Linked DNA regions of Elephas maximus indicus. The protein of the gene in region 2 purifies or fractionates together with the protein of the main gene of each other region. This does not show direct contact. Links are inferred from orthologs where the notes say so. Each region holds a gene or a part of one and is shown on either strand. Other genes may lie near its edges. The genes, in order: KDM4B and FBXO22.

Evidence for each region.
Region 1: the proteins of FBXO22 (region 2) and KDM4B purify together in Homo sapiens (affinity purification with western blotting; 3 studies listed by BioGRID, with this or other methods). This does not show direct contact. The link is inferred for Elephas maximus indicus from reciprocal best matches to the Homo sapiens genes FBXO22 and KDM4B.

The regions. Positions count from the first base shown.
Region 1 is NC_064821.1:8,035,348-8,051,963, reverse strand, and holds the start of KDM4B (lysine-specific demethylase 4B), read right to left. Parts: upstream 10,142-16,616; 5' UTR 10,020-10,141; intron 1-10,019. UniProt on the Homo sapiens protein: Histone demethylase that specifically demethylates 'Lys-9' of histone H3, thereby playing a role in histone code. Does not demethylate histone H3 'Lys-4', H3 'Lys-27', H3 'Lys-36' nor H4 'Lys-20'.
Region 2 is NC_064831.1:67,692,927-67,709,310, forward strand, and holds the start of FBXO22 (F-box only protein 22), read right to left. Parts: upstream 7,629-16,384; 5' UTR 7,567-7,628; coding exon 7,421-7,566; intron 7,047-7,420; coding exon 6,908-7,046; intron 1-6,907. UniProt on the Homo sapiens protein: Substrate-recognition component of the SCF (SKP1-CUL1-F-box protein)-type E3 ubiquitin ligase complex that is implicated in the control of various cellular processes such as cell cycle control, transcriptional regulation, DNA damage repair, and apoptosis.

The DNA.
Region 1 (16,616 bases), on a different chromosome or scaffold from region 2:
CGTTTGTAGATCGGGGGTCACCAGGAGTTCCCCCACACTTGCTGGCAGCATCAGGCCAGCTCTTCCGTTGAGGGAGACGTGTGGGTCCACGGCTGCCTACTTCTCTCACAAAGTGCAGCTCTGAATCGCCGGCTACCTCCTCTCACACGACTCGTTTCTCTCCAGTCTCTCCCCCGAGACACCTCAGGTGCCAGGTTTCCACACTGGGCCCGGCATGACAACGAGAGTGGGGGCCCACCTCCACCCCCACCTACCCAGAGGCCGCCACCTGCGGGTCCCACTGCAAACACAGAAAGGGCATGTGATGAGGGCAAGCCCTGACTGCGACGCCGACGTGTCACGTTTACAGCTCGCCATCCAGGCTCGCTGCTAAGGCCTAAGTTAGTTATAGTTCAACTCCGTACCCAGAGGTCCACTGGGGGCGCAGCAGCCATAGGCCGTTTGCTTTCTGACTCTTATTCTTTGTCCACTGAACAAACGTACTTGAGCCATCTATCCGATAACCACAACCCAGAGTTACAGAACAACTGTGTGCTCCTGCCGCTGCCAAGTAAGGAGCCCTGGTGGCACAGTCATTAAGTACTCAGCTGCTAACCGAAAGGTCAGTTGTTCGAACCCACCAGAAGCTCTGCAGGAGAAAGACCTGGCAACCTGCTCCCGTAAAAATTACAGCCACTAAAACGCTATGGGACGGTCCTACCGTCACACAAGGTCACAGTGAATTCAAAATCGATTTGACAGCACCTAACAACAACAACCACTGCTCGAAGGCACGGCCCCTGCCCGTGGGGCAAGGAGGGACCAGACAGAAATGGCAGCATCTGATAAAGACAGCTTAACAGGAGCTTTTAATCAACCCTCTCCTGTTCACAGACATCACCGGGATGGCTTAATAAAAGGAAAGAAAGGCGAGAGAGCAAGAAGTCAAGAGAAAGAATACAGGGAAGCAAGAAAGAAGACAAGTAAGCAAGTGAAGGGGAAAAAAGAGAAAAAAAAAAAAAAAGACACAACTTTTGAAAGCCAAGAAATACTGAGCAACCTTCTCCAGATTGTTTATTTCAATCAAAAAAAGAAAACCATAAATGAATGGTATGCTTTCTGGACAAGTAGGAACATTCCTGAGTCGGCACCACATCTCAGAGACACCCTAGACACCTCCTAGCGGGATACGTGGCTTGGAAAACACTCGCCAGGCAGTCTTTATTCGGGAAAGCCACGGTGGAGGAGCAAGGCGAGCTACAGGCTGTGTGCACAGTTCCTCCACGTCCAGCGTGGCTGTCCGTCATTCCGCTCAACCCCACAGCTGAATCTTAGCACCCACGAAAGCGACTTCTCTCGTGAGTGTTCCTGTGCAGACGGCTTGTGTTATGGTTAGTTGCTACTAAGTCAACTCTGACTTCTGGCGACCCCATGTGTGTCAAGTAGAACTGCTCCATAGGGTTTTCAAAGCTGTGACCTTTCAGAAGCAGACTGCCAGGCCTGTCTTCTAAGGTGCCTTTGGGTGAGTTTGAACCACCCACCTATCGGCTAGTAGTCAAGCGCTTAACCGTTTGCACCACCCAGGGACTCCTGCAGGTGACTAGGAGACTGCAAAAGCCACCTCCTGGGATGACCGCAGAGCCCCAATGGTGCAGCGGTTAAGCACGGCAGCGAGCTACGACAGCTAAGCAAAAATGTTGGTAGTTCAAATCCACCAGTCACTCCTTTGAAACCTTATGGGACAGTTCTACTCTGTCCTGTAGAGACGTTAGGAGTCAGCCAGCCACGGAGTTTTCCGGAATGACAACACTACTTTCAGCAGGAGCACTGGTATTGGTAGAGGATGGTTCAGACACCGTCTTAGTTATCTAGCTCTGCTACAACAAAAACACCATCAGTGGCTTGCTTTAACAAACAGAAACTCATTCTCTCACAGTTTAGGAGGCTCGAAGTCCAAATTCAAGGCAGCGGCTCCAAGGGAAGGCTTTCTGTCTCTGTAGGCTCTGGAAGAAGGTCCTTGCCTCTTCAGCTTTTGTTTCCTGGTTCCTCTATGTGTGGCTTGGCATCTGTCTTACCCCCTTTCTGCTTCTCTAGACTTTTTAGTCTTTTTTATATCTCAAAAGAGACTGACTCATGATACATCCTGTGCTAATCCTGTCTCATTAACATAACAAAGACAACCCACTCCCAAATGGGACTAGAACCAGGGTCATTGCTGTTCTGTTGTTAGGTGCCACAGAGTCGGTTTGGACTCAAAGCGACCCCATGTACAACAGAACAAAACACTGCCAGGTCCTGTGCCATCCTCACAGTCCTACTATGTTTGAGCCCATTGCTGCAGCCACTGTGTGAATCCATCTCGTTGAGGGTCTTCCTCTTTTCCGCTGACCCTCTACCTTACCAAGGATGATGTCCTTCTCCAGGGACTGGGCCCTCCTGATAACACGTCCAAAGTATGTGAGAGGAAGTCTCGCCATCCTTCCTTCTAAGGAGCACTCTGGCTGTACTTTTTCCACGACAGATTTGTTCATTCTTTGGCAGTCCATGGTATATCTGATATTCTTCACCAGCACGGTAATTCAAAGACATCAACTCTTCTTCAGTCTTCCTTATTCATCGTCCAGCTTTCACATGCATATGAGGCGACTGAAAACACCATGGCTTGGGTCAGGCGCACCTTAGTCCTCAAAGTGACATTTTTGCCTTTTAACACTTAGGTCTATCTTGCACTTAATACTGACAGAAGGCATATTAATCTGGTTATATATAAATCCTAGCACAGAAGCTAGGATTTACAGCACATATTTTGGGGAAACACAATTCAATTCATAACAGAGGCTTACAAAACCAAGTGGTTGTGAAATATTTTCTTCCTTCTAAGCGCTCTGCCACTGCCAGGTCAAAAGAGACTCCACGGGTCACACGTACACCTCACGGGTCTTCCGATGCTCAGCAGAGAGAGGCAGAAAGGGGCAGCGTGAACCCAAAGGCAATGAAAAATAGGACATCCCAAACGGCAAAATACATTTCCTCATTTATGTCTATTTCTTTCCTCCTTTACTATGAGGGTGTTTTGGTAGATGTGGTAACAGCATTCTCGTACATTCTCTGCAGTTTTAATTTCCCTCAACACAACTCAAGGCTTTTTTTTTAAACTAGTGTTTCCTTATTGTTCCAAAAGCAACTTTTTTATACCTTTTTAGTACACTAAGAGCAATTATTCATTCAACAAATACTTATTGAGTACCTACTATATGCCGGGCACTGATAAAGGCACTCGGGGTATATCAGTGGGAAAAAACACAAAGACCCTTGCCTTTGAGGAACAAGAACAACCAAGTTTAAGACATAAGTAAACATACAGGTAAAATGAAAGGTCAACAGCCCTGGCCTGTTTTCTAAAGCACACAGTATTACCCTAAATGCTCTGGAGTGGGAAAGAGGGAAATTCACCCATGCAGCCAGCAAACATTTTCCTGAACACCCACTACGTGCCAAGAACTGCCCTCGGCACTGGGTGTACAGACAGCAACCAACGCAGGTGTCGTTTCTGTATTGTGGACCTTACACCCTAGTGCAGGGGTTAGCAAACTCCGGCCCATGGGCCAGATCTGGCCAGCCGCCTGTTTTTGTACAGCCCACAAGCTAAAAATGGTTTTGACGTTCTTAAATGGTTGAGGGGGGAAATCAAAAGCACAGAAATATTTCATGGTGTGTGAAACTATATGAAATTCAGATTTGAGCATCCATGAATAAAGTTTTATTGGCACCAGGCATGTCCACTCATTTACGTGTTGTCTGTGGCTGCTTTCACATCACAACACAGAGGCAGGAGTCAGGTCAAAGGCCATCTGGCCTGCAAAGCCAAAATGATAACACTACTCTCTAGACCTTTACAGAAAAGTCTCCTGGAGTAGATAAGACAGACAATAAATACAGAACCAGGCTAATATACCTTCTGGCAATGTTAAGTGCGGAAAAAGAAAAAGCAGAACTGGGGGAGATGGTGATTGGAGGGGCTACTTTTTTTTTTTTCTCACAGTTCATTATTCTTTTTTATTTTTTTTAATAATTTTTATCATGGTTTAAGTTTACAAATTAAGTCAGTCTCTCACACAAAAACCCATATACACCTTGCTACACACTCCCAACTACTCTCCCCCCGATGAGACAGCCTGGTCTCTCCTTCCACTCTCTCTTTTCGTGTCCTTTTCGCCAGCTTCTAACCCCCTCTACCCTCTCATCTCCCCTCCGAGGGGCTACTTTTGAAAGTGTGGTCAAGAAAGGCCTCCAAGCTGAGACCTGAATGACAAGGAGCCGGCTGGATAGTGGCCTGAGGGAAGAGCATTCTGCGAGAAGGAACAGCATGTGCAAAGGCCCTGATGCAAGAAAGGGCAGGCAGGTCAGAAGGTGGTTATGGCTGGCAAGGAGCACCCTTGGGAGAAGTAGTAGGTAAAGAAGAGAGGAGAGGGCCACGAAGGACAGAGCAAGCAGGCCACAGACGGCGTCTGAATTTTCTCCAAGGGCAACAGGAAGCCATGGGAAGGTTCTGAGCAGGGCAGGCCATTTTTGAGGCAGCAGGAGTGAAAACAGCCAGACTAGCTGGGACACCTTATCTAACCAACAAGCAGATCCCAGAACAGGCCAAGTCCAGCGGGGACTCAACTCCAACTCAAAAACCGGTTCTTCACACACACAAAAAATCAATTCATGGATGAGCTCAGGCCTCAGTATTTGAGGTGATAGCAACTTCTTTCTTAAAATATTTAATATCTCTAAGTTCATCTTAACGTGCATCAGTAGAAGGATCTGCCACAAGCACAGTAACAGTCGCACGACTCACGGAATCACCGCTCAGCGAGAGGCTGAGACTAACAAGTAAACACCTTGAAGCCAATGCAAAGAAAACCGTTAAGCCGATCGATAAGACAAGAGTACAGGGACTGAGGGGGTCACTGGGTGGTACAAATGGCGAACGCACTCGGCTGCTAACCAAAAGGTTGGTGGTCTGAGCCCACCCAGAGGCATCCTGGGAGAAAGGCCTGCTGATTGAAGTCCAAAAACGCAGCTTTTGAAAACCCCGTGGACCATAGTTCTACTCCGACACACATGGGGCTGCGTGAGTCACAGTCAGCTCCACCAACACTGGTTTTCTAGGGATCGGGAGGAAGAGGAAGTGCTGCCTCAGGGAAGCCAGAGGAGCCTGGCAGGGGGCCCGCGGGGTGAGGCGGCTGAGAACAGCCGGGGAAGCCCCCCGCGCCCACTGTCCCTTGGCCGGGTGGACGTCAGGGTAGGCACAGGCTCTCCCACAGGCCTGCCCCTCTCCCCGCTGGGGTGGAAGCTGCAGGTTGGGAAGGGCAGAGGGACCACTGGGAAGAGACTGGAAAGCCAGGCCAAGTCGCAAATATGACCCACTCGCTACTGAATGGCCCCTGCTGTTGTTGCTGTTACCGCTTGCCACCGAGTCCATTCCAACTCCCAGCAACTTTATGCTACACAGCACTGTCCCATAGGGTGTCCTGGACTGTAATCCTCACAGCAGCAGATCACCAGGTCTTCTCTTCTGAGAAGGAAGTGCTTAACCATTGCACCGCCAGGGCTCCTGAAGGACCCCGAGGTGATCCAAACAGTTTGCACTTGACTGCTAACTGAAAAGCAGGCGATTCGAACCCACCCAGCAGTACCACGGAAGAAAGGTCTGTCACACCTGCTTCTGTTAAGAATTCAGTGCCCTGAGACTGGAAGTGGGCAGCGCCAGGCTACATTACTAACATTTTGATCAAAGATTCCATAGAAGAATCCTGATCAAAAGGGGGAAAATGCTGAACAAAATTCCCAATGCGCATGGACTCTATAGACTTTCTGAAGCCATGGAGGGTGGATGTCGCCCTGAAACTACTGTCCTGAGATAACCTTTAAACCTTAAACCAAAAATATCTCCTAAAATCATCTTAAAACGGAACAACAGTTTAGCTTAACTAATAAAAAAAAAAAGGTCTGCCTTGAGCGTTACGCTCTTTTAAGAACTATCTCTATGGGATCAAATTGACAGCAGCAACTCCAGAGATGAGACAGGAAACTCAGGGGGGCAGTGAGTTCATGTTAATGAGGGAGGAACAACTGGGAAAAAGAGGGTGAGAATGGTTGTGCAACTTGAAGAATGTGATCACTGTCATTAAATTGTACATGGAAAAACAGTTGAACTGGTGTGTTTTGGTGTGTATATTCTCAACAACAGCAAAGTAAATAAAACTTCAACAAAACAAAATTCAGCTAGGAAAACCCTATGTATCAGTTCTACTCTGCAGCACACGGGTCCATGAGCAGAATCCACTGGGCAACTACAAACAAACAAGGACCGGTGATGTTTCACACCAACCAGAACGCAACTAATAGCAACTGAAGGCTGGGGAGCCGGCAGGGGATGGGGGGGGCGGCGAGCGAAGGAATCTGAGAAGTTTGAGACTGGGGATGCGACAAATTATCAGGCTGCCGCAGGGTTAAAGGCGTAAATTCGTGGTTCTCACTTGGGGCAGTGCGTGGAGAAATCTGTGGTTGTCACGACTCAGAAGGCGGGTGCTACAGGCATGGAGTGGGTGGAAACCAGGGATGTTGCTCAACGCCCTACAGTGTTCAGGACATCCCCACCGCAGAGAAGGATCCCCTGGGAAACCCCGTGGAGGCGGCTAGGAGGCCGCAGCACTAAATTGCCCCAGGGTTCAGCACTCTGGTATGGCCACCATTCACCAGGAGGCAGGCACCCTGCAAGAACTTCATGACTTTTATAGCCTTAGATCCTCATGACAACCTATGAGGGAGATGCTGGCCTTACACCCATTTCATAGATGAGGAAAGTGAGGCCCACAGGAGAGATCCGAACCCAGGTCTCCGAGACTCTGGAGTCTGTGGCAAGGAGTGGAGAGCAGGCAGAAACGCCAGGGTGGGCGAGGAATGCCAGGTCAGAACCAAGCCTGAGTTCAGCTCCACCCCTCCCCCACCCCCAGCCCCACTCTCCAGCTCCCCCCAGGATCTGGGTCGGCATGAGAAAGAAAGAGATAACCCAGGCCTTCCCATCATGGCGGTGACCACGGAGGGTCTGCGTGGCCCACAGCTCTGAACCCACGCAGCACGCTTCCGGATCACAGGAAGAAAGCCACCCAGAAATGCCACCTGTTCCTGGTTTGGCCCCTCCCCACCCGCCACCTCGACCCGTCCACTCCCTAAGCTGGGCCCCTGGGGACAGTGGACGCTCCACAGCCATTACTGCTGGGACCACACTCCAGGGTACCCACCTCTCCCTCTCCCCCACTAGCCCTGAAGCCCCTGGAGGTTGGGAACACGCCCTCCCAACATCCTCAGGCCAGGTAGGTGAGTGACGCCAACGTCCATTCTCACAGGTGTGAGATGGCACCAAGGGATAGACAGTCTCCCCAAGGCCAAGTATCTATTGGACCCATCCGGGGGAGGAGACAGGGCACAGAGCAGGCAAAGGAGGCAGAGAAATTAGAAATCCGAGTACAGGCAGGGGCAAGCAGGTTGTGAGGCCCCTGGCCGCCCTAGAGGGCTCATTCAGGATGGGATGGAGCTGAGGAAGGAGCAGGCACTGTGGCAGGGTCTTTTCCACTGGACAGAGAAGAACAACAAGGGGGGTGGGGTGGAACAGTGACCAAGTGATCCGTTCTACCTTTAAGCTCCAGTATTTAACATCTCCTTAGCAGCCCACTTCCCAAGGAGGAAAGGATTAGAAAATACATGAAGATCAACGGTGGCTTAGACCTGCGTATATTCAAGTATTAACGACTACACACGACACGTGTGCACCCACACAGCTGACACAGTACACCCTTCCATCAGAGCACCCGTGACACGATGGGGCATTTATGCGACCGCACCCCCAGCGCCCCGTTCCTCCCCAGAGGTGACCTCCAGCAGAGCAGAACACATTGACCTTCGGCGTATTGCAGACGTATAGAGTGGGCAGCCCGGTATTGGCCATGTGTCCAATCAACAACTCAAAAAGGGACAGCGAGTTTTAGAAATTCTCTACTCAGACTCAAAAGTTGACTTCCAGCTGTGACGCTCTGTCCTTCGGGATTTCAAAAAGCAAACTGCTAGGAAGCTGCCCACTGCTTCTGGAGGGGTGGTGCAAAAGAGCTGACCGGTCTATTGACAAACTCTCGCGATGCCTCATAAGGAAGCTATTATTTGAGAATTAAGGGATTCATTAGCTCTCGCATGGCCGTGATAAAAGCCCATAGGAGTCATCTAATGAGCAGGTTTTAAGGCTGCTGCTGTTTTAGGAGCTTTTTCCGCCTGGGGATCATCGGATAAATGGCTGTTGAGGCACAGGGGTAGGGCAAGGCACCAGCCTCTTAAGTGCACCCCAGTATCCTCAGAACCTCGAGCCTTGATGGCACAAACAGTTAAGAGCTTGGCTGCTAACCAAGAGGTTGGTGGTTCAAATCCACCCAGCAGCTCTGCAGACGATGTGGAGATCTGGTTCTATAAAAATTACAGCCTAGGAAACCCCATGGAGCAGCTGCACTCGATCACGTGAGGTCACTACGAGTTGGAACGGACTTGGCAGCACTATACAACAGCCTCAGAACCAGAAGCCGTGGTGGCGAAAAGGGTTATGAGCTTGGCTGCTAACCAAAAGGTTGGTAGCTCAAACCTACTCAACGACTCCGCAAGAGAAAGATCTGGCAATCTACTTCCGTAAAGATTAGGGCCTACAAAACCCTGTGGGGCAGTTCTGCTCTGTCACATGGGGTCACCATGAGTGCAAATCCACTCCACGCACAGAACAATGACCTCAGAACCTGAGACACTGCTGGTACCCAGTGGGTCCCAAACACGCTCACTGACCCAATATTGACAGAAACACATGGAACAGCACACTCTTTACATGTTACAGGATCGTTCAGCTCCACTGAGCAGAACCACCTTCCCACTAGTTTCATAACTCAGGAAACAGTTCCCAGGTGCACCTGAATTGTTAAAACAAAAGCACCCCGCCGCCCCAACCAAACAGATGGAACACACCAAAAACAGTCCTCACCTTCTGCCTCTCTCTCAGGTTTGAAAAAACCCCTACAAAACCTTCTACCCTGCCCAGGTGGACATGCACCCCGCTAGTCCTTATGTTCCTAACTTATGTCATCGGGCGCCCCCTGAGCGCGAGCAAACCCCAGCCCAGGTAGACACAGGGCAAATCCATTTCAGCACGAATCCATCCCCTCGCCCCCGCGTCGACGGATGGGACAGCCAAAGGGGTCGCCGCCAAGACCAACTCCTGGATTGATTTCTTTCTACAGAGCAGGGGCTCCGAGATGGCGATCGGGCTGCGAGGGGGAGGGACCGGGGGACACGTCTTGGAGCTGCTGCTATTGCACAGCGAGGAGACACATTTTTTTGACTCCAGATTGCATGGTTATTAGGGGGAGGGGAGGGAAGGCTCACGGAGACGGCGGTGGGGGGGCAAGTTTGGAAGCTGGGATGACACGACAGGTTGTCTTGCGGAGGGGCTGGGGGGCACCGATGGATTTTGGGGGATGCCCCTGGGTGTCGAGGCCGGGAAGCGCCCCCATTAATCCCACTGGTGTCCAAGGGGGCTGGAAGCGCAGGCGGGTCGTACCATGGCCTGGGTGGGTTTTTTTATTATGAGTGGGATCGTTCTAAATCCTAAAGGGGGAGGGCCCGCGCAGGGCCGGGCCGGGCCACCCACGCTGTCATCTTTTGTGCCCAGCCCCCCGCGCCCCGGCCGGGAAGGGGCGCCCCCGCCCCGCGCGCCCGGCCATTGTGCGGCCCGCCGCCCCCGCCGCAGCCCCGGCCGGCCCCCCTGGCCCGGGCAGTTAACGCCCCCAACGGCCCCGCGGGCCGGGACAAAGCGCGGCGGCCGGGCCCGAGCAGGCCGCGCCCGAGGCCTGGGCCTCGAGTGCCGGGCGCGCCCGCAGCCCCGGGCCGCGGCGCGGGGCGAAGGCGGCGACGGGCCCGCGCTCGCTCACTCGGCCGGCGCGGAGGCCTCCCCGCGGGCTCACCTGAGGCGGCGCGTGCGACCCGGTGCGGAGCTCAGCGCGCGCTCCCCGCCCTCGGCGTCGCACCCCCAGGCCCCGCTCGGGCCGGGCCCCGCTCGGTCGCTGGCGGCCGAGCCCTCCGGAGCGCCCCGGGCGGGGCTTATGAGGCCGAGCGTCAGCACCGCCCCGGCTGCCATTGGTCCGCCAACCCACGCCCGCGCGCCCATTGGCTGCCGCTGACAGCTCCGCCCCTCCCCTCCGCCGGGCCCATCAACAACGCACGGCCCACCCGCCGCGGACCTCCATTGGGCGGGCGCAGCTGCCGGAATCGCGTCCCCATTGGTCGGTCGGCAGGGACACGCCGGCGCCCACCCACGTGCCTGCTGACCGGCAAGGCTCTCATTGGAGGCGGCGCCCGCCAGCCAAGGAGATTGGGACCAGTCCGACGGCAGGCAAGCCTCAGATTGACAAGGCCGCCTCGAGGACCGCCCAACGGCCGCACGGGAGAAGCGAGCATTGGCTGCGGGGTCAGCCCGAGGCGCGGATTGTCTGGGGCAGGTGCCAATCACTGCCAAGTCGCCCTGGTTATCAGGCGGCCGCTGAGTACGTGAGACCCCGCACAACATCAGCACCGAGCCGGGGAAGCGCGGAGTGGAGGGTTCGAGACCCGCAGCCGGAATATTGGGCTGCAATTTGCGAAGTACCAACGAACCTATTTTGCAAAGGGGAACTGAGAAATAAGGAAGTGAAGCAAGCGAACACCCCCCGCCCCAACCCCGGCAGGCTCGTTTCCCTCACAATGAACAAACCTCTGCAAAAGGCTAGGTGGTTGGAATAAAGTTAGATCCCCTTCCCGAGTTCCCTAAAAAAAAAAAAATTATGGGAGGTGATAAATTTGGTGCTTTCAGACCTGGGCCCCACCCCTCGTTGTGAGTGGGCCTCAGTTTGCTCTGTGAAATGGATTTGACGGTAGTGTGGCCTGTCGCCCCCCTCCTGGGAAAGTTGCCAGGATTACGTGTGATGACCCAGGTAAAGGGTTTGACCCTGTGGCTGTACGTAGTAAGCATTGAATTGAAATTAGTAGTAGTAATAACAATGTTGTTAACTGTGAGTTGGGCCAGGCAAGGGTGTGGTCACCCATTTCTATACAGGAGTATAACTCAGTACAGCCACTCTGGATCATTTGACATTTTCTTATAACAGTTTAAGTTTCAAAGAACAAACAAGTCAGACGAAATACAACCAGAATGCTCCTTAGAAAGCAGAATGGTGAGACTTTGGCTCGCTTACTTTGGACACGTCATCTGCAAAGATCAGCCTCTAGGACATCCATGGTTGGTAAAGCAGAGGGTCAGCAAAAATGAAGAAAACCCTCAAGGAGATGGATTGACACAATGGCCGCAACAATGGACTGAAACATACCAATGATCAGGGAGATAGATGGTGCAGGATCAGGCAACATTTTGTTCTGCTGTACACAAGGTGGCCGTAAGTTGTAGCCAACTTGATGGCAAGGACAACCCAGGGTTCTTCCTCCAGAGAAAGTTTGCTGCACAGCCCTGTTTGCAACTGTTTCCAGTGTTCTCCTCTAAATATCCATCAGTGGGGCTGAAGTAAACAATTTGTGACATACCTTACTCAAATACTTAACTATGTAGCAATTGAAAACTAGGCAGACCTCTATGTAGTGTCATGGAGTAAACTCCTAGGCATGTTGTTGAGCAAGCTGCAGAAATACCCAGATTTTTTGTATTCAACAAGATACATTTCATGGAAACAAATACACATGAACCAATATCATGTGGCTTCTCAGAGTTCAAGGGTGTAAATGCACAGAGTAATTTAACCTTTGGGGAGAAGGGAAAGAGTTCCAAATTGGTAAAAAGAGGTAGTCAGAGGGGACTCGAATCTGTTCTCTGATGTTTTAAATTCTTATGGGACCATGTTCACATAGTCCCCATATAGTTAAAAAATTTAATTTTAAAAACAGGAAATAGTGGGTACCTTCAAGGAACCCCCTATCCAACGGGGAAGGCAGAAATGGAATGCAGTCATGATCAAAAGTACAATAATGGATTTTCCCCCATACAAGCCTTTTTTTTCTACTTCTAAGTTTATCCATTAAGACACTGAATTCCACATGTTTGGATTTCACAGACTCTCAAATTGTATTTTTTTTTTTTTTAATTGGGAGACCAAAATAGCTTGTCAACTTTCTGATTTTGTTTAGGGAGACATTTTTTAACAGCATCTAATATGACGGCAGGGAGTCCTGGCGGCACAGTGGTTAAGAGCTAAATGGCTGCTACCCAGAAGGATGGCAGTTCAAATCCACCAGCCGATCCTTGGGAACTCTATGGAGTTCTACTCTGTCCTGTAGGGTCACTGAGTCAGAATCTACTCGAAGGCAATAGGTATAATATGATGGCGCAGGACCCGGCCGCATTTCATCCTGTCATGCGTTGAGTTGCCATGAGTTAGGGCCAATTTGATGGCAGCTCACAACCACCGTTATGTGATAAACAATATTAACAATTGTAGAGTATAGATAGTGGGTATATGAGTGCTCACTATACACTTCTTTCAACTTGTTTGAAAACTTGCATATTGAAAAGGAAAAAACTATAGTCCCTGTCATTTCAGGCATCTATAAAAAGGGATGGTTGCCATGGGTTGGGGGCCGACTCAACGGCAGTTAACAACATACAAAAGTAGGAAGGACACTCAGAATTTTTAAATGGACAAATTAACTTGGGGAAAGCGGGGGGGCGGGGGGAAACTCACCTAAACGTCCTGCTTTTTCTGGTCTCCACGGGCAGGGCATTGTGATTGGGGATCTCTCCAAGCCAGGAGCCTCTGTGGCACTCATCTTTGACCCCCAAGGGCCCCTTGGTCAGCAGAGCCAGAGCCCAGCTCATGACCCCGCCTCATCCTTCACCTGACCAGACAGGCAAAACATGGAGCCAAGAAACATCTAGTGCTGTACCAAGTTTCCCCTCCTGCTTAAGGGTAGGTCCACTACATAAGAAATAAGGATGGCTGAAAAGATACATTTTCTCATGTGTTAAAAAATACATTGGGGGAGAAATTCTAACATTCCATCTGACTCCAAGCAAACTTTGCTAGACACACGTGGGTATTATGTTCCACACTGACACACAGATATATGCAAGTATGCATCCACCAAGACCACAGGTCACGTCTGTTTGCAATGGTGCTAGACAATGTGGCTACTTAAACATTGTATTCAGAAGAAAACAGGGCCCAAAGTGGCATATATAGTCCCACCCTCATTTAGTCCTTCGAATCTAAATATATAAAACAAGTACATGGAAATAATACGGACTTTGGCTTTGCCACATCCTTAGGCAAACCACTTAACCCCTCTGTGCCTCAGTTTCCTCATCTGCAAAATGGCCGCCGCATCATAGGTACCTAACAAACACTGACTCATATACAATAAAACCTGAACAAAGGTACATCAAAATGTTAACCCTCTGGGTGGCAGGATTGTGTGTTTTGACTTTTTCCTTCACATATTCAGTTTCCAAGTTTTCTAAAAGGAACATGCATTCATTTGGTAACCTGGGAGAGGTGGAGGGAAGGAAAAAAAATTTACATTAAAGAGTCAACCAAGAGAATAAAATGTGGAACACCCATACAATAGGAGCCTTGGTGGCATGACGGTTAAACGCTTGACTACTAACCAAAAGGATAGCGGTTCAAACCCACCCAGCAGCTCTGCGGGAGAAAAGACCTGGCGATCTGCTCCTGTAAAGATCAAGCCCAGGAAACCCTATGGGGCAGTTCTACTCTACCACGTGCAGTGGCTGTGACTTGAAATCTACTCAACTGCACCCAGCAGAAACAGCAGCCATACGATGTGATATTATTTAGTCATGAAAACTAATGAAGCACTGATACACGCTACAACACGGAGCAACCTTGAAAACATTATGTCAAGCAAAAGAAGCCAGGCTCAAAAGGCCACATACTGTATGATTCCACTGATATGAAGTGTCCAAACCAGGCAAATCCGCAGAGACAAAGATGAGCGGTTCCCAGAAGCTGGGGGTACGAGGGTGTGGGGAGGGACTGCTGACGGGTACAGGGTTTCTAAAGGGGATGAGAGTGTTCTGGATCAGGGATCGATGATGACTGCACAACCTTGCGAATTTACTAAAAGCCATTGAAGTGTATGCTTTAAATGGGTCAATTACATGGTACGTGAATTACATCTCAATAAGGCTGTTATTAAAAAAAAAAAAACTCAGGGCTGACTCAAGACGGGGAGAGTAAGTGGGAGTAGGGAGTGAGATGTATGTAAACTTATATGTGACAGACTGATTGGATTTGTAAACGTTCACTTGAAGCTTAATAAAAGTTATTATAAAAAAAAAAAAAAAAACTCAGGAAATAAATATGCTCGATATTGTGATTACTTCTGCGTAAGTTTCACAAATACTTAATTAAAAAAAAAAAAGTGGGAAGAAAGACTCTGAATCACTAGAAACAGATTGGCCGACAGTACGATTCTAGAAAGTTCCACATGCCCCATTTTGCAAAGTTAGAGGCTTTTGCTTTTCCTAAGAGCTGGCAGTTTTCACTCTAGACATTATACACCCCATTCGCCAGAACCGCACCAGCCAATACGGAAGCTGCCAGCTACATGTGGCTCCATGAATTTCTCCATCATTGAAGAAAGTTCTACTGGACCGCGCTGCTGGAAAGAGCAGGGGTCAGCAGCCTATGTCTGTAAAGGGCCACAGAGTAAATACATTTAACTTTGTGGGCCAGACGGTTTCTGTCACAACTACTCAACACTGCTGGTTACAGCAGGAAGCAGCCATAAACAATACGTAAATAAATGAGCATGGCTGTGTGCCAATAAAGCTTTACTTACAAAATACGGGCCCAGAACCCAGCGTGGAGCATATGGGCAGTGGAACAAATTTGGCCTTTTGGGCTGTAGTTTGCCGACCCTTGCTCAAAACTGTTAAGGGAAAGGGGAAGGACCAAAATCTCCTGGAGTCCCTCAGTCCCCAGGTGACGTAAATGGCTAATGCACTCAGCTGCTAACCAAAAGGTTGGAAGTTCAAGTCTACCCAGAGGTTCCTCGGAAGAAAGGCCTGAAAGTCTACTTTTGCAAACAGCCACTGAAAACTCTGTGGAGCACAGTTCTACTGTGACAAACACGGGGTCACCGTGAGTCAGAGTTGACTCCGTGGCAACTGGTTTTTTTCAACATGTCCTCAGCTGGCAGTCAGAATGCACTGGCCACGAGCTGTCACCCACCACTTCTGAAGTTCTGGATCTCCGTGTTGTCATCTGTAAAACGGGAGGCAGGAATTTACATGAAAAGAAACGAAATAATGGGTACAAAAGTGCACAGCAAGCTACAAAGCGATCTGCAATGAGAAGACATGAGCAACTGCGTCTGTAAAAGACATTTATTTATTCTGAGGATCTAAAATTCGGACAAAGAATGTTCAACATTTCAGAAAAAGCCTACCCACGATTGCTGTTTTGTTCCCCCCCCCCCCGGATACATTAACAACCTAATCATAAGAAAAATTTAAAAGAAAAAACCTCTTAAAACAATATCGCACTCCAGTTTGTCTGCAGTTATCTGATATTAAAATATCCCTGTTACATGAGGTATAAGCTGCAAACTTTGGTAAAGTTAGAAAAATGAACAAACTATTTCAAAAATTAAAAAATTACACACAACGGCTGAAAACCCTAAGTTATATCTTTCTTGATACATGTACAGTAACTACAAAAAAATTTCATTTAGGAAAAGTATCCCCCCTCCAAAACAAAAACAAAAAAATCCCTCTTGTAATTCCCCATTGCCAAGCTGAAAATTCCATGTCAAACAGTAAAATGCAAACCGTCCCCACACCCTCCCAGCCTCAGGAACAACTGGTCAACCACAGTTTTCGATTGTGATTGGCAATCTCAACATTTCAGTGCTAACAAACAGCCCCCATCTTGGGAAAAAAAAAAAAAGACCCAAAGGCACTTGGACATGGCTTTGTGCGTTCGTCGGCTTCCGAGTGGCTCCGGCTCAGGCGGTGCGGCCAGATGCCCGGCCCCGATGCTAACGGGGGTCCCGCGGAGGTAGTTTCTGTAGTGCCCGACTGTGCGCACTGTGTGTGGACTCCTTACCACAGAAGCAAACCGGTAGGGGATGGCTTCTATAGAAGGCGAGTTTACGCAGGGCTCAATCCCGTGTCTCCTCTTATCCTGAAAGCGACACCCACAGCCACTTCGTGGTGGGCAGCTGGACCACGGCCATGCCCAGGCCCGCCACCAGGAGTCACTGTGCAGGGTTTTGTCCGCTACGACGCTGTCGGGAAGATGCGCTGGACCTTTGGGGCCAAACCCACAAACCTCGAAAAGATTGTTCCAGGCGGCGTGGCCGAGCCACCGTCTTTACTCGGTGGCAGCAGCTTCTGAGAACTTGCTGTTGAGAACGTAGGCACCCTTCGCGAGAAATAATATGCAATGCCATCTTTTAAAAAAAAAAAAAAGTTTTAAAAAAGTTTTTTGGCTGAAAAATTGCAGGCTTTCTGTTTAAAAACAAAATACGGACGAGTCCAACTTTCTTCTTTGAGC
Region 2 (16,384 bases):
CCTGTGGTCCATTAGTCCTTTGGAATAATTGTTTCCTCATGTCTTAGGTTTTCTTCACTTTACCTTGCTCCAGACGGAAAAAGACCAATAATTGTATCTTAGATGGCTGATCGCAAGCTTTTAAAACCCCAAAAGCTACTTACCAAAGTAGGCTGTATGAGCTATGTTATGCCAGTTGACTGACCTAGATATCCCAAGACAGTGACTCTGTCCCACAAGGTTTGGTTATGTCCAATATGTCTCCAACGACCATGCCCCTTGTGCCTTCTATTATGTATATGAATTTACATGCTGTGCATACAAATATTTAGAAATATCCACAGCCAAACCTATATACGCATGTACTCATACACCCTCCCACACCTATTCAGCATACATAGCTACCTATGTATCCACTCAAAAATTGTTATTACTGTTGTTGCAGGACTGTTATACTTATCATCATCGTCTTTTATTCCTGCGTACCTCTCAGTGTCTTCTCTTCCCTTGGTCACATTGTGCTGACTTCCCCCATATTGTGTACCATCTTTCCCTTCACCAAAGCGAACATGTGCCTACCATATTGTGTACCATCTTTCTCTTCACCAAAGCTAACATGTGCCTACCCTCCAGCTAGTGATTTTCCCTCCCTCCCCCTCCCACCTCTGGTAACCATCAAAGAATGTTTATTTCTGTATGTAAACCTTTCCTTGGCTGTTCATAATAGTGGTCTCATACCTTATTTGTCCTTTTGTGACTGACTTATTCCACTCAGCATAATGTCCTTCAGATTGATTCATGCTGTGAGATGTTTCACGGATTCATTATTACTCTTCATCATTACGTAGTATTGCATCGTGTGTATGTACCACAGTTTGTTTATCCATTCATCCATCGATGGGCATTTAGGTTGTCTCCATCTTTCTATTACTGTGAATAAAGCTGCAATGAATGTGGATGTGCATATGTCTATTCTTGTCACAGTTCTTATTTTTCTAGGATACATTCCTAGGAGTAGGATTGCTGGATCATACATTTCTATTTCTAGCTTTTTAAGGAAGCACCGTGCTTTCTTCCATAGTGGTCGTACCATTTTACATTCCCACCAGCAGTGTGTAAGAGGTCCAATCACAATCTCATCAACTTTTGTTGTTTTCTGTTTCTTTGAACAATGCCATTATTGCTGGGTGAGATGGCATCTCAGTGTAATTCTGACTTGCATTTCTCCAATGGCTAATGATAGCAAGCATCTCTTCGTGTGTCTTTTGGCCACCAGAATGTCTTCTTTCATAAACTGTTCAAATGTTTTTGTTATGTATTTTTACTACAATTAAAAAAAAAAAGCAACCAACATCACAAAACAATTTGTATATAAATTTTTAATGAGAAAATAATCTGTGCTGTAAACTTTCACCTAAATCACAATTAAAAAAAAAAAAATTCCTGGGTATATACTCAGAAGACTCGAAAGTAGAGACTCAAAAAGAAACTTGTATACCAATGTTCATTGCAGCACTGTTCTCAATACCCAAAAGGTAGAAACAACCTAAATGCCCATTAACAGATGAATGGAAAAACAAAATGTAGTACATACACACAATGGAATACTACTTGGCCAGTTAAAAAAGGAGAAGTAAAATCTTGATACATGCTACAGTATGGATACAGCTTGAAGACATTACCCAAAAAAACCAAACCCGTGCTGTCCAGTCAATTCTGAACCATAGCGATCCTACAGGACAGAACAGAACTGCCCCATAGAGTTTCCAAGGAGTGCCTGGTGGATGTGAACTGCTGACCTTCTGGTTAGCAGCCGTAGCACTTAACCACTATGCCCCCAAGGTTTCCATGATATTAGGCTCAGTGAAATAAGCCAATCACAAAAGGGCAAATATTATATGACCTCACTTATTTAAAAAAACAAGAAAAGGCCAATGTATACAGAACAAAGTTTATTAGTAGTTACCAGAGGTGGGAGGGAGAGAGAAAAAGGAGGTGTCATGGATTGAATTGTGTCCCCCCAAAATATCTGTCAACTTGGCTAGGTTATGATTCCCTTGTATGATTGTCTACCATTTTATCTTCTGATGTGATTTCCCTATATATTGTAAATCTTATCACTATGATGTAATGAGACAGACAAGCAGCAATTATACTGATTATAAGGTTATAAGATTAAGTAGGGTCTTAAGCCAATCTCTTCTGAGATAGCAAAGAGAGAGGAGAGCAGAGAGACACGGGGACCTCATACCACCAAGAAAGCAGCATCGGGAGTAGAGAGCATCCTTTGGGCCTGAGGTTCCTGCTCTGAGATGCTCCCAGGCCAAGGGAAGACCAATGACAAAGACCTTCCTTCAGAGTTGACAGAGAGAGAAAGCCTTCCCCTGGGGCCGGCGCCCTGAATTCGGACTTCTAACCTACTGGTCTGTGAGAGAATAAACTTCTCTTTGTTAAAGCCATCCTTTTGTGGTATTTCTGTTATAGCAGCACTAGATGACTTAGACAGGGGTTAACAGTGATAGAAAAATCGTACTGATTAAGGGTAGGGTTGCACAGTCAATTACTGTAACTGCTGTCAATAAGTTGTACACCTGTAAAAAGTTGAACTGGCAAAAGCTATGTGATACATCTACAATGACAAAAAAATAGAGTAACTGCCGAGGCTGCTTATGTATAACCAACCACCTCATGGGACTTGGTTCCTTAGTTTGGGGTTTAGGGTCATGGTTTCTTAGGACATCCCAGTTAAATGGTCTAGTAATATTTTTAGCGCTTCTGCCCTACCTCCTAGTTTGTCATATAGTGCCTAGAGTCTTAAAAACTTGCAAGCAGCCATCCAAGGCACAACAACTGGTCTCTATTCAACTGGAGCAACAGACAAAGAAAGAGTCAGGAATAGGTGAAGGAAGTAGAATATGTGGTTAACTGCCCCTGTGAACAATGGCCTCCTTTGTCATGAGACCATAAAAGCTGGGTAGTGCCCAGTTACCATTACTGAACACTTTAATCAAAGATTACATAGCATAATCCTGATCAAAAGGGGGAAAACACATAAGAGAATTTCAAACCGTCACAGACTCACACTTTGTGGAGCCATGGAGGGTGGATGAACCCCTAAAACTACTGCCCTGAAATAAATCTTTAAACCTTAAACCAAAAATATCCCCTGAAGTCATCTTAAAATTGAACCACAGTTTAGCTTAACTAGTAAAAAAAAGATCCGCCTTAAGCATTATGCTCTTTTAGGAACTATCTATATAGGATGAAATTGACAACAGCAATTCAAAAGATCAGATAGGAATCCTGGGGGCAGTGGGTTTATGTTAATGAGGGAGAAGCAACTCAGAAAAGGAGGGTGGTGGGTAACCAATTTGCTCTGTAAACTTTCACCAAATGTACAATAAAATTTTTTTTTAAAAAAGCAGGCTGAGAATGGTTGCACAACTCGAAGAATATAATCAGCGTCACTAAACTGTACACGTAGAAACTGTTGAATTGGTATATATTTTGCTGTGTATATTCTCAACAACAAAATAAACTTTACAAAAAAAATGAACGGAGGGGGGTAGTTAAAACTTTTTTTTATGGCTATAAAAGTACCATGTCCACTATAGATAATTTTGGAAAACACAAAGAAAACTGCAGGTACGATTTGAGTAGGATTTCTACGTTTTTAATCTCACACAAGCTAGAGTTTACTACAATGTACAGTCTTTTTAAAATGGTATTACTATACGAATTTTAATAATATCAATAATAAAGAATATTTAGTAACACTAATTAAAAATATTACATTCCTGGTACTACAGGTAATGTGTTACATGTATTACCTACTCATGATTTAATTCTTACAAAAACTCTATGTAAGAGTGTAAGGGAAATTACCTTTTTTTTTCCTATTTCATTTTACAGAGCTGAACCTAGGACTCACAGTAATTAAGTAACTTTTTCAAAGTCATACAGCTAGTATGTGCCAAAGCCTAAATTTGGCTACAGCAGCCATTACAATGTGTCAGCCTTTAAAGCTGTATTAAAATACCTGCTGTGATTAAAAATCTGAAAAACAAAACCCCAAAAAGTTTAAAGAAGCACTTAAAAAAAAAAAAACTCTATGCCCAAAGAAAATGTATGTTAGCATTCTCACTTATTTCTTTCCTATTCTTTCCTTTTTGTTCTAAATAATTTCAGATTATACTAAACGTATGATTTTATCATCTATTTTTTCATTTATAAAATCTACATTTCCCCTCATCATTAATGTACCTTGCAATCTGTCACTTAATGACTTTATTAGATAAACATTGGATTGTTATAAATGATGCTCCAAAGAACATCTTTATGGAAAAGTCTTTGCTTAAATTTTTAATTTTTTTAAATGACAAACTCCTAAAAATGGACCAGGCAGACCTGGGTCAAAGTACCAGAACAAAGTTTTCTGCAAGCCTGCCTCTGGATACTGACCAGCTCCCTGACATCTAAGGGCTCTGTTCACACAAGGAAGGACAACAAGACTGGTTACATGCAGGAGATTAGTCTAATATCTAAATATATATTAAGAATCACGGAAGCCAGACTTCTCACTGTCCGGAAGGGAGGTACAAATATGAGTACAGAAAACACTAGAAAGAAATTTTCGTTGGATTAGAACTGGATGTACATTTGTGAACTCATTAATTTACATATATAGAGATAAAGTTGTAAACGTGTATATATGTCACAGATTGAATTGTGTCTCCCAAAAACATGCGTCGACTTGGTTAGGCCAGGATTCCCAGTACTGTGTGGTTGTCCTCTATTTTGTGATTGTAATTTTATGTTAAAAATGATTAGGGTGGGATTGTAATACTATCCTTATCCAGGTCACACCCCTGATCCAATGTAAAGGGAGTTTCCCTGGGGTGTGGCCTGCACCACCTTTTATCTCTCAAGAGACAAAAAGGAAAGGGAAGCAGAGAGGGGGGCTTCACACCACCAGGAAAGCAGCACGGGGAGCAAGGCACATCTTTGGACTTGGGAGCCCTGCACAGAGAAGCTCCTAGTCCAGGGGAAGATTGACGAGAAGGCCGACAGAGAGAGAAAACCTTCCCTTGGAGCTGACACCCTGAATTTGGACTTTTAGCCTACTTTAATGTGAGGAAATAAACTTCTCTTTGTTAAAGCCACCCACTTGTATTTCTGTTACAGCAGCACTAAATGACTAAAACTATATCTATATACACGTTTATACACATGTTTATACACACACGCATGTACACATATACATATATTCCTGTCTGGTCTTTGGAGCAGCAAACCTCTCAACACCAATGAGTGTATCTTGCATCCAGGTTTTGACTTCTAAATACCATTCTCCACTAAAAAATCCAGGACTCCTTGCACAAACTGCTGATTCTAGGACTAAGGCTAGCAAAACTTAGACCATCTCGTGAAAGAATGCAATAAAGTGCTCAAAGATGACAGACTCATCTCTAAAATGTATTGAAGCCAGATGGATGGAACACCCACTAGCCAAACTGGAGACAATTTTGAGCACCAAAATAAATGCTAATAGTAAAGATCATATCCTACTGAATAAAATAGGAGATCAAGAGTATAAACAGATATAAATAAATAAACAGACAAAGTTCTTTCAGGAGCCCTGGTCGCACAGTGGTTAAGTGCTCAGCTGCAGATCTTTCGGTTTAGCTGCTAACTGAAACGTCTGCAGCTCAGACCCACCAGCCTCCACAGGAGAAAGATGCTGCAGTCTGCTTCTGTAAAGATTACAGCCTTGGAAACCTTACAGGGCAGTTCTATTCTGTCCTACAGGGTCGCTAAGAGAAGCTACTAGAACAAAATGGGTTACTTACATAGTTTCAAAGTGTCTCACCCCAAAACACTTATTGCAGTAGAGAGTAATTTTATAGTAGAGACACCTGGAAAACACCATCTTAATCCAGTAATCAAAGATAATTTGCACCAATAATGTGATAAATGGAAATCATATACCAACTGACAGGATGCAAAGAACACAGTAACACTTCTGCGATATTCCTGCCCAAAATGCACAATCTGAATCTAATAACCAGAGTCTTCAGACACACCCACATTGATGGATGTTCTACAAAATAACTGGCCTGTAATTTTCCTAAGTGTCAAGTTTGTAAAAGTCAAGAAAGCCTGAGAAACTGTTCCAGATCAAAGGCGATTATAAAAGCCATTATAAAGGCCATTACTGGGACAACCGGCAAAATTTGACCAGAGTCTAAGAATGATATGGTAGAAATGTATCAATAATAATCTCCATCCTGATGGCTGTATTGTACTTATGTACAATGTTCTTCCTTGTACATAATACATACTAAAGAACGAGGGAGTGACAGAGCATTAGATTGGCAATTTACTCTCAAATGGCTCCCTCCCACTCCCAGGTGAGATACCAGAGCCTCACTCTCACTTGTGCTCAAGCGGCTGCCCCTCTGACTTCACAGTCCAAGTTTTTACACTCCCCTCACTAGACATTGTCTCCTTTTTTGAAACTGAGGCCCAGAGATAGAATACACAAGGGTATTTGATTGGTAGTCGAACTATTTGGGTGTCTTGGCTTTCTGGTTGCCTGACCCGGTGCAAGAGAGTTGCCTTTCCTGCAAAATCGACAGCGATACTTGCTTCAACGGAAGGCGGTGAAGGGAAAGTTCTGCGCACCGTTATTATAATACAGAAAATCTGGATACTCAAAATTTTCCAACATTCAAAGAGTCAAATAAACCATCACGGCACAAATATACAACTGTTAAAACTGATGTTTACAGTCTTTCCCGGCATGAGAAAACGTTTCCTGCATTACAAAAAATAAAGCCATAAACAAAACTGCAATTGGAAAAAAAAACCTTAGTTCCCAAAAGCTGTCCCAACAACCCTACTGTGCACGACACCCCTTCTTACTTGCCTCAAGCTCCTCTGCTAGCACGCGGACCAAGCAGTGCCCCTCCAGATGGCTGGCCTCCGCCGGGACCGCAGAGACCCAGGTCACACTCCGATGGGCCCGCAACACTCTGCGCACGCACTCCCTCCATAAGCGGCATACGCTGGGGACGCAAATGCACAAGAGGTTGCGAACTGACGTTCATTTCCACCTCCTCCGCTGCCGGCAGACCCCCACCCGCAAGTGCAGCAGCCGAAGACCCCTGCCAGCTCCAAAGTTCCCGAGGAAGACAGGTGTCTGGGCGCTAGTTCGGAGGAAGAGCCAGACGCGGGGAACCTTAACGGGAACTTCGCCCCTCAGGGAAAAGTCCCCTCGGGGAGCCCTTCGGTAGGGGTACCAGGCGGGTGGGGGCGTCGCCTCGGGGCAGGGCTGGGGGTCCGGGGCACCCCTGGGTCCCAGTGGTCTCAGCCCACCCCGCCGGCCTGAGCATGCCTGCGGCATGTCCTGAGGCAAGCGTCCCGCCTCCTCTGTCCTCACCCGGCCACCCGCAGCAACGCCTTGGCGGGTAGGAAGGTAAGGACGCGTTCCACCACCTCCGCTAGATTACTCAACACGAAGGTGCTTCGCGGGTCTGCGGAGCAGGAGCTGCGGCAATCGCCGCGGCCGCCGCCCACCAGCTCCATTGCTCCCCAACCCGCCCGTGGCAAGCACTACGGCGGCCTGGAGGGACCTGCTTAGGCTGGCACAGGACCGCCCAGCCGGCGAGCTCTGGGCGGGCGCGCACGTCACTTCCGGCCAGGCAGGGAAGGCGTGGCTGCGGCAAGGCGCCCACGTGAGTCCGGCCGTCAGGTTTCCGGTGTTGGACTTTGTGAGCTAGCTTACTTTGGGAGGTTCCGCCGGAAACCTTCCTGGAGGTCTTTTATGCTGTCGGAGTCAAAATATGTACTGTTCCCTATGTGCCTCTCGCTACACTTGCAGCGTTTAAGTTTTTATTTTCAGTTTTTTGAAGACAAGGACGGGGTAGAATTGGTCTTTACAGTCCCAAAGACTGTTAAATAGCATGTGCCCAATTTTTGGACAGTTTTCAGCTTTAAGTGATTTAGGGTATGAAGACTTGGGCTTGAGTCTATGGCTGCGTTCCTCATTGCCCTTATTCAACACCTTGTGAACTTGGATAAATCACTGTTGTAGCCCTCATGTCCTTAACACATAAAATGGCATAAATGGCACCTGCAGTTCTGAGGCAGCCTGAAAGGTAATGTCTGTGAAAGCGCGCCCCAAACTACACTGGTTCCTCCCCAGCAGCATCAGAGTCACCTGTTTTTAAGTTTTCACGTGTTTCTCAGACCTCACCCCAGGCCTACTGAATCAGAAACTGTGTTTGAAGTACCTCGTCGGTCATTCTAGGAAGCCCTGGTGGCATACTGGTTAAGAGCTACGGCTGATTACCAAAAGGTCACCAGCTGGAATCCACCTAGGTGCTCTTGGAAACTGTATGGGCCATTTCTACTCTGTACAATGGGGTCACTGGGAGTCCAACTTGAGGGCAACCGGTTTGGTTTTTTTTTTTCTTTCTTTCTTTTTTGGTTCGGTCATTCTAAGGAGCCCTGGTGGCATCACGGTTAAAGCCACCCACTGGTAACCTAAAGGTCGCCACTTAAACCACTAGTGGCTCCTCGCAAAAAAAGATGTGGCAGTCGGCTTCTGTAGAGAAACCCTATGGGGTCACTTTGAGTGAAAATGCACTCGAGGAAAGTGGGTTTCGGTCAGTCATTCCGATGCCGGCTCAAGTTGAGAACCATAGATAAAAGGAATCTAAGCACAGTAAGCACTGCCACTTGCCCACCTAACATCTATTACTCCAGCGGCTGCTTTGTTAACATCCCTCATTTGTTCCCCAGTTCTTGAGGATAACCTTCACTGGTCTAAACTAGTGGTTCTCAATTTGACCTCAGCATCCCTTTACACTCTTAAATATTGATACCCACTAAGAACTTCTGTTTATGTGGGTTATTCTATCAATATTTACCATACTAAAAATTAAAATATATCTTAAATTCATTACACATTAGGAAAACAATTTTATGAAAAATAACCATTTCCACAACTCACAAATAGTGAATAGTGTGGTATCACTTCATATTCTTCTAATTTCTGGATAATGGAAAATAGCTGGATTCTCATCTGCTTCTGAACTCAATCTTTTGCAATATCACGGCATGTTCTTGCTAGTTGCCATGGAGTCGATTCTGAATCATGGTAACCCTATTGTGTTACAGAGAACTCCATTGGGTTTTTAAGGCTGTGACCTTTCTGAAGTCAATTGCCAGGCCTGTCTTCTGAGATGCCTCTGGATGGATTTGAACTGCCAACCTGTCAGCTAGTAGTCCAGCACATAACCATTTGCACCACCCAGAGACTTCTCATCACAGTTATGCAGTCTGGAAAACTACACTGCACATTTGTGAAAGAATGGGAGTGAAAAAGGCAAATAATGGTTTAGGTTATGAAAATCGATTTGGCTTTTGCACACCCCCTGAAAATGTCTCCCAGTGATTCCCAAATCATACTTTGAGAACCAATGATCCAAACTAATCATAATGGTCTCACATTCTTTTTCACCAGCCATTGGTTTAGGGGTTGACACAGGCCCCAGTTCTAGCCAAGAAGTGAGGGGCAGTGTGCTTGATGAGGTGGGACTTTTAAAGATTTCCACACCTTCTAAAGAGATACTGAAAGAGGACTATTGTCTATCTATGGACTTAGTAAGGCACACCCAAACATGACATTCAATCCAAGGATGAATCAACATGGAAAAATCTCAAAGGAGGAGAACACAGCCTACGTACACCATGCCTGGAGTCCTGTCTCTGGACTTTAACTGTGGTGAAAATATACACACCACAACATTCACCAATACAACTTACATATTTACAATAAATGACAATGATTACATTTTTTCATGTTGTGCCACTGTTACCACTGTCCTTTTCCAAAATACTCTACCACCATTAAGATAAATTCGATGACCTCCACAAACAAAAAACTCTCCCTTCTCCCCTCCCTTCCACACCTGGTTACCATTAGTAATCTTTGGTTTCTAGGTATTTATTTCATATAAATGAGATCATCCCCCACGTGTCTGTCAGTTTGTTGTACTGTGGGGCTTGTGTGTTGCTGTGATACAGGAAACTATGCCACCGGTATTCAGATACCAGCAGGGTCACCCATGGAGGACAGATTTCAGATGAGCTTCCAGACTAAGACAGACTAGGAAGAAGGACCCAGCAGTCTACTTCCGAAAAGCATTAGCCAGTAAAAACCTTATGAATAGCAGCAGAACATAGTCTGATATGGTGCTGGAAGATAAGCCCCCCAGGTTGGAAGGCACTCAAAAGATGACTGGGGAAGAGCTGCCTCCTCAAAGTAGAGTCAACCTTAATGACATAGATGGAGTAAAGCTTTTGGGACCTTCATTTGCTGATGTGGCACGACTCAAAATAAGAAACACCTGCAAACATCCATTAATAATCAGAACCTGGAATGTACAAAGTATGAATCTAGGAGAATTGGAAATCGTCAAAAATGAAATGGAACACATAAACATCGATATCCTAGGCATTAGTGAACTGAAATGGACTGGTATTGGCCATTTTGAATCAGACAATCATATAGTCTACTATGCTGGGAATGACAACTCGAAGAGGAATGGTGTTGCAATCATCGTCAAAAAGAATGTTTCAAGATCTGTCCTGAAGTACAACGCTATCAGTGATAGGATAATATCCATATGCCTAGAAGGAAGACCAGTTAATACGAATATTATTCAAATTTACGCACCAACCACTAGGGCCAAAGATGAAGAAATAGATTTTTATCAGCTGCTGCAGTCTGAAATGGATCGAACATGCAAGCAAGATGCATTGGTAATTACTGGCGATTGGAATGCAAAAGTTGGAAACAAAGCAGAAGGATCAGTAGTTAGAAAATATGGCCTTGGTGACAGAAACAATGCCGGAGATCGAATGATAGAATTTTGCAAGACCAATGACTTCTTCATTGCAAATACCTTCTTTCACCAACATAAACGGCGACTGTACACATGGACCTCGCCAGACGGAACACACAGAAATCAAACTGACTACATCTATGGAAACAGACGATGAAAAAGCTCAATATCATTAGTCAGAACAAGGCCAGGGGCTGACTATGGAACAGACCACCAATTGCTCATATGCAAGTTCAAGCTGAAACTGAAGAAAATCAGAGCAAGTCCACGAGAGCCAAAATATGACCTTGAGTATATCCTACCTGAATTTAGAGACCATCTCAAGAATAGATTTGATGCACGAACACTAGTGACCGAAAACCAGACGAGTTGTGGAATGACATCAAGGACATCATCCATGAAGAAAGCAAGAGGTCAGTGAAAAGACAGGAAAGGAAAAAAAAACCAAGGTGGATGTCAGAGGAGACTCTGAAACTTGCTATTAAGTGTCGAGCACCTAAAGCAAAAGGAAGAACTCATGAAGTAAAAGAACTGAACAGAAGATTTCAAAGGGCCTCTCGAGAAGACAAAATCAAGTATTATAATGACATGTGCAAAGAGCTGGAGATGGAAAACCAAAAGGGAAGAACACACTCGGCGTTTCTCAAGCTGAAAGAACTGAAGAAAATATTCAAGTCTCGAGTTGCAATACTGAAGGATTCCATGGGGAAAATATTAAATGACGCAGGAAGCATCAAGATGGAAGGAATACACAGAGTCATTATACCAAAAAGAATTAGTCGATTTTCAACCATTTCAAGAGGTGGCATATGATCAGGAACTGATGGTACTGAAGGAAGAAGTCCAAGCTGCTCTGAAGGCATTGGCGAAAAACAAGGCTCCAGGAATTGATGGAATATCCATTGAGATGTTTCAACAAACAGATACAGTGCTGGAGGTGCTCACTCGTCTATGCCAAGAAATATGGAAGACAGCTTCCTGGCCAACTGACTGGAAGAGATCCATGTTTATGCCTATTCCCAAGAAAGGTGATCCAACCAAATGTGGAAATTATAGAACAATATCATTAATATGACATGCAAGCAAAATTCTGCTGAAGATCATTCAAAAACGGCTGTAGCAGTATATCGACAGGGAACTGCCAGAAATTCAGGCCGGTTTCAGAAGAGGACGTGGAACCAGGGGTATCATTGCTGATGTCAGATGGATCCTGGCTGAAAGCAGAGAATACCAGAAGGATGCTTACCTGTGTTTCATTGATTATGCAAAGGCATTTGACTGTGTGGATCATAACAAATTATGGATAACACTGCGAAGAATGGGAATTCCAGAACACTTAATTGTGCTCATGAGGAAACTTTACATAGATCAAGAGGCAGTTGTTCGGACAGAGCAAGGGAATACTGATTGGTTTAAAGTCAGGAAAGGTGTGCATCAGGGTTGTATTCTTTCACTATACCTATTTAATCTGTATGCTGAACAAATAATACGAGAAGCTGGACTATACGAAGAATGGGGCATCAGGATTGGAGAAGACTCGTTAACAACCTGCGTTATGCAGATGACACAACCTTGCTTGCTGAAAGTGAAGAGGACTTGAACCACTTACTAATGAAGATCAAAGACCACAGCCTTCAGTATGGATTACACCTCAACATAAAGAAAACAAAAATCCTCACAACTGGACCAATAAGCAACATCATGATAAACGGAGAAAAGACTGAAGTTGTCAAGGATTTCATTTTACTTGGATCCACAATCAACAGCCATGGAAGCAGCAGTCAAGAAATCAAAAGATGCATTGCATTGGGCAAATCTGCTGCAAAGGACCACTTCAAAGTGTTGAAGAGCAAAGATGTCACCCTGAAGACTAAGGTGCGCTTGACCCAAGCCATGGTATAATGCATGTGAAAGCTGGACAATGAATAAGGAAGACCAAAGAAGAGTTGATGCCTTTGAATTGTGGTGTTGGCGAAGAAGATTGAATATACCATGGACTGCCAAAAGAACGAACAAATCTGTCTTAGAAGAAGTACTACCAGAATGTTCCTTGGTAGCAAGGATGGCGAGACTGTGTCTTACATACTTTGGACATGTTGTCAGGAGAGATCAGTCCCTGAAGACGGACATCATGCTTGGCAGAGTACAGGGTCAGTGGGAAAGAGGAAGACCCTCAACGAGGTGGACTGACACAGTTGTTGCAACAATGAGCTCAAGCATGATTGTAAAGATGGCGTAGGACCGGGTAGTGCTTCATTCTGTTGTTCATAGGGGTGCTATGAGTCGGAACCGACTGGACGGCACCTACCAAACGAGATCATATAGTATTTGTCCTTTTGTGACTGACTTATTTCAATTAGCGTAATGCCTTCCAGGTTCATCTGTGCTTCATTCTCTTTACAGCTGCTTTATGTTCCATTGTACGGACATACCACATTTTGTTTATCCATTCATCTGCTGATACACATTCCAGGTGCCACCTTTCGGCTACTGTGAAAAGTGCTGCAGTGAACATTGGTGTACAGATTTCTGTTTGTTCCTGCTTTCACTTCTTCTGGGTATATATACCTAGGATTGGGATTGTGGGTCATGTGGTAGTTCTATGTTTAACTTTTTGAGGAACCGTCAAACTGTCAAAGGGGCTGCACCATCTTACATTGCCACCAGCAATGGATGATGATTCGCTTCTCCACAACCTCACCAACACCTGTTGTTTCCTGTTTGCCTTTTTTTTTTAATAACTGCCATTATTAAGGAACTCTGGTGGCACAGTGGTTAAAGTGATCAACTGCTAACGGAAAGGGTGGCAGTTCAAAACCACCAGCAACTTCTGTGGGAGAAAGATGTGACAGTCTGCATCTGTAGATATTTACAGCCTTGGAAACCCTACGGGGTCACTATGAGTCAGAATTGAGTCAATGGTAGTGGGTTTATTGGAATGGCTAATGAACATCTTAAATACCCTCTTTGAAGAGCTGCCTGTTCAAGCCCTTTGTCCATTTCTTTTATTGGGTTCTTTTAATGTTGTTATAGAAGTTTTATATATTTTTTGGATATTAGGCCCTTGTCTGATACATGGTTCTCATCAATTTACTCCCAATCTGTACTGTCTTTTCATTTTGTTGATAAAATCCTTTGATGTACCAAAAGTACTGAATTTTTATGAGATCCCATTCATCTATTTTGTCTTTTGCTGCTTGAGCTTTAGTTACCATATCCTCTGGACTTTTTGTATGTGACATGACCTGATAACTGTATGCTAAGGAGGCCGAGGATATGCTAAAGTGGGGAACAAAGGACAGTCACTTAAATTTATATTTAAGAATGAATGTGGGCAAGGGGGAAAGGCTGAGGAAAACCCAAGTATACCAAGTCCATACACACTATTTCTGGATTCTCTAGTTTCTTCTTCTTAAGTCAATCTGCCTCTCTTCCTCTCAAGCCTCTTATGATGGTTAAGGTTATGTGTCCACTTGGCTAGGCTGTGAGCCTCAGTGGTTTGGCAGATATTACGTAATCATCCTCCATCTTGTGATCTGATGTGAGCAGCCATTCAGTTCAAAGGGGCGTTTCCTTGGGGGTGTGGCCTGCATCCAATATATAGATGTTCTGGCAAAGCTTGACCTCTCTGGATCCTGTATCCAACTCATCATCCTCTGACCTCCAGTTCTTGGGACATGATCCAGCAGACTGCCTTCCAACCTGCAGATTTTGGGACTTGCCAGCTCCTGCAGCCCCGAGCCAGCAGCCTGCCGTCTGACCTGCCAATTTTGTGATCATTAGCTTCTGCAACCACATGAGTCAGGAGAAGCCTCCAGCCTGACGCCTGACCCATGGATTTCGGACTTGCCAGCCTCCACAATTGTGTGAGCCATTTCCTTGTAATAAATTAATCCCAATCTCTCTCTATCCACATAAATATACATATATATACACACACATACAATTCACTTGTTTAGCTCCTGTAGAGAACTCTGTCTAGGAAACCTTTCCTCACCCAAACCCACCTTAAATGGTCCTATTCCAGAAACTCAATAGAGCCTATGGACTCCTGAAGCAAAGAGTATGTCTTATGAGGGAAAAATGACAAAATAATTTTTTAAATGGTTCTTTATTCATAAACTTGATGCAAGTTTACAAAATTTACTGTACATTGCCAAATAAATCTGCAATGAAAAATAAAATCCAAAAAAAAAACAAAGCATGCCAAATGTGCAGCCGTCAATCTGCTAGCCATCAGTATATTAAAGAATTCAATAATGTATTCAAGATTTAGCCTTAGGTTTAAGGAACTTTAATGCTTTAAAGAGTTCTGCCTTGTCACTTCTTATCTGAGCAAAACTGGCTATCAGAACTTTATACAAATTTAACCAAGTGAACCAGAAAGCCAGAAAATCTTTATCTACTGTCCTCTTAACCAAAATAGAATCAAAAGAAATAAAACACACACAACTAATACAGAAGTGCCAAGTCTCTCTGATGAGGTTCACAAAGTTAAAACCTGAATCTCAGAGCAAATGTGTAAGAAAGGCTTCTCAACTTTGTAACTGGTTTGTGCAGAAAAATGTGCTTCTGGAGTTCATTTTTAAAAGTGCTTATTAACATCTAAAATTTACTTTTAAATCAAACGTGGGTGTACAAAAAATCCATTACCAACCAAACAGGACTGATTCAGGTAAGGCAATAAAATGGAGAGCACACTGATTTGAGTCAGGTTTCATAAAGGAATTGACATATGTAGAGTTCCTTTTAGTCTCTCAACGTAAAAGCCATATGTTATGACTATGGCAACAAATTTTAAGAGTTTCCAAATTAGATATTATCTTTTTGGATTTAACTGTGCAGCCTTTGCTCAAGGAATCTTTGTGCCAATCATTTTATTAGTTTACAAATGATTGCAACATCCCGTTAATAAAATGGAAACGTAAAACGACTTAGTATTTTAAATAATTTCAAGCTCTATACTGTAGCTCTTCTCTTAAAGAATACTGAACCAACAAGAAGCAAATTCAGCCCAGTAAGACTCTTGATGCCCCAGTGGAAATTACTACTTAAATGCCTTCATTGGCACAGCCTTGCTTTGCTTTACTTAAAAAGTACAACCCAATTAAGCGTATATCAACAACAAAGAGTTCATATTTTCACACAGCCATAAAAAAGTTTAACAATTTAATGAGTAGGTTTCCTGTCATTATTTTGGCAATATCATAAAATGGTTTTAGACCTGAAAAAACTACTGTGATTTAGAAGACCTTAAATTTTCTAAACCAGTATTAAACAACAATTAAACTTTTATTGGCTCGAGATGAAACAATGTATTGCAAGTCATCAAAATCCGTAGGCTCAACACAGGAAAATTACCCAAGATGCGTCACAACTTCAGTAACCTGATGCTGACTTGCCTGCTTCGAAGCTTTCACTTATCAAGAAAAAGAGATGATAAGAAGTGGCCAGTATATGTATTTATCAGGAAAAATACAGTAAAGGCCCCA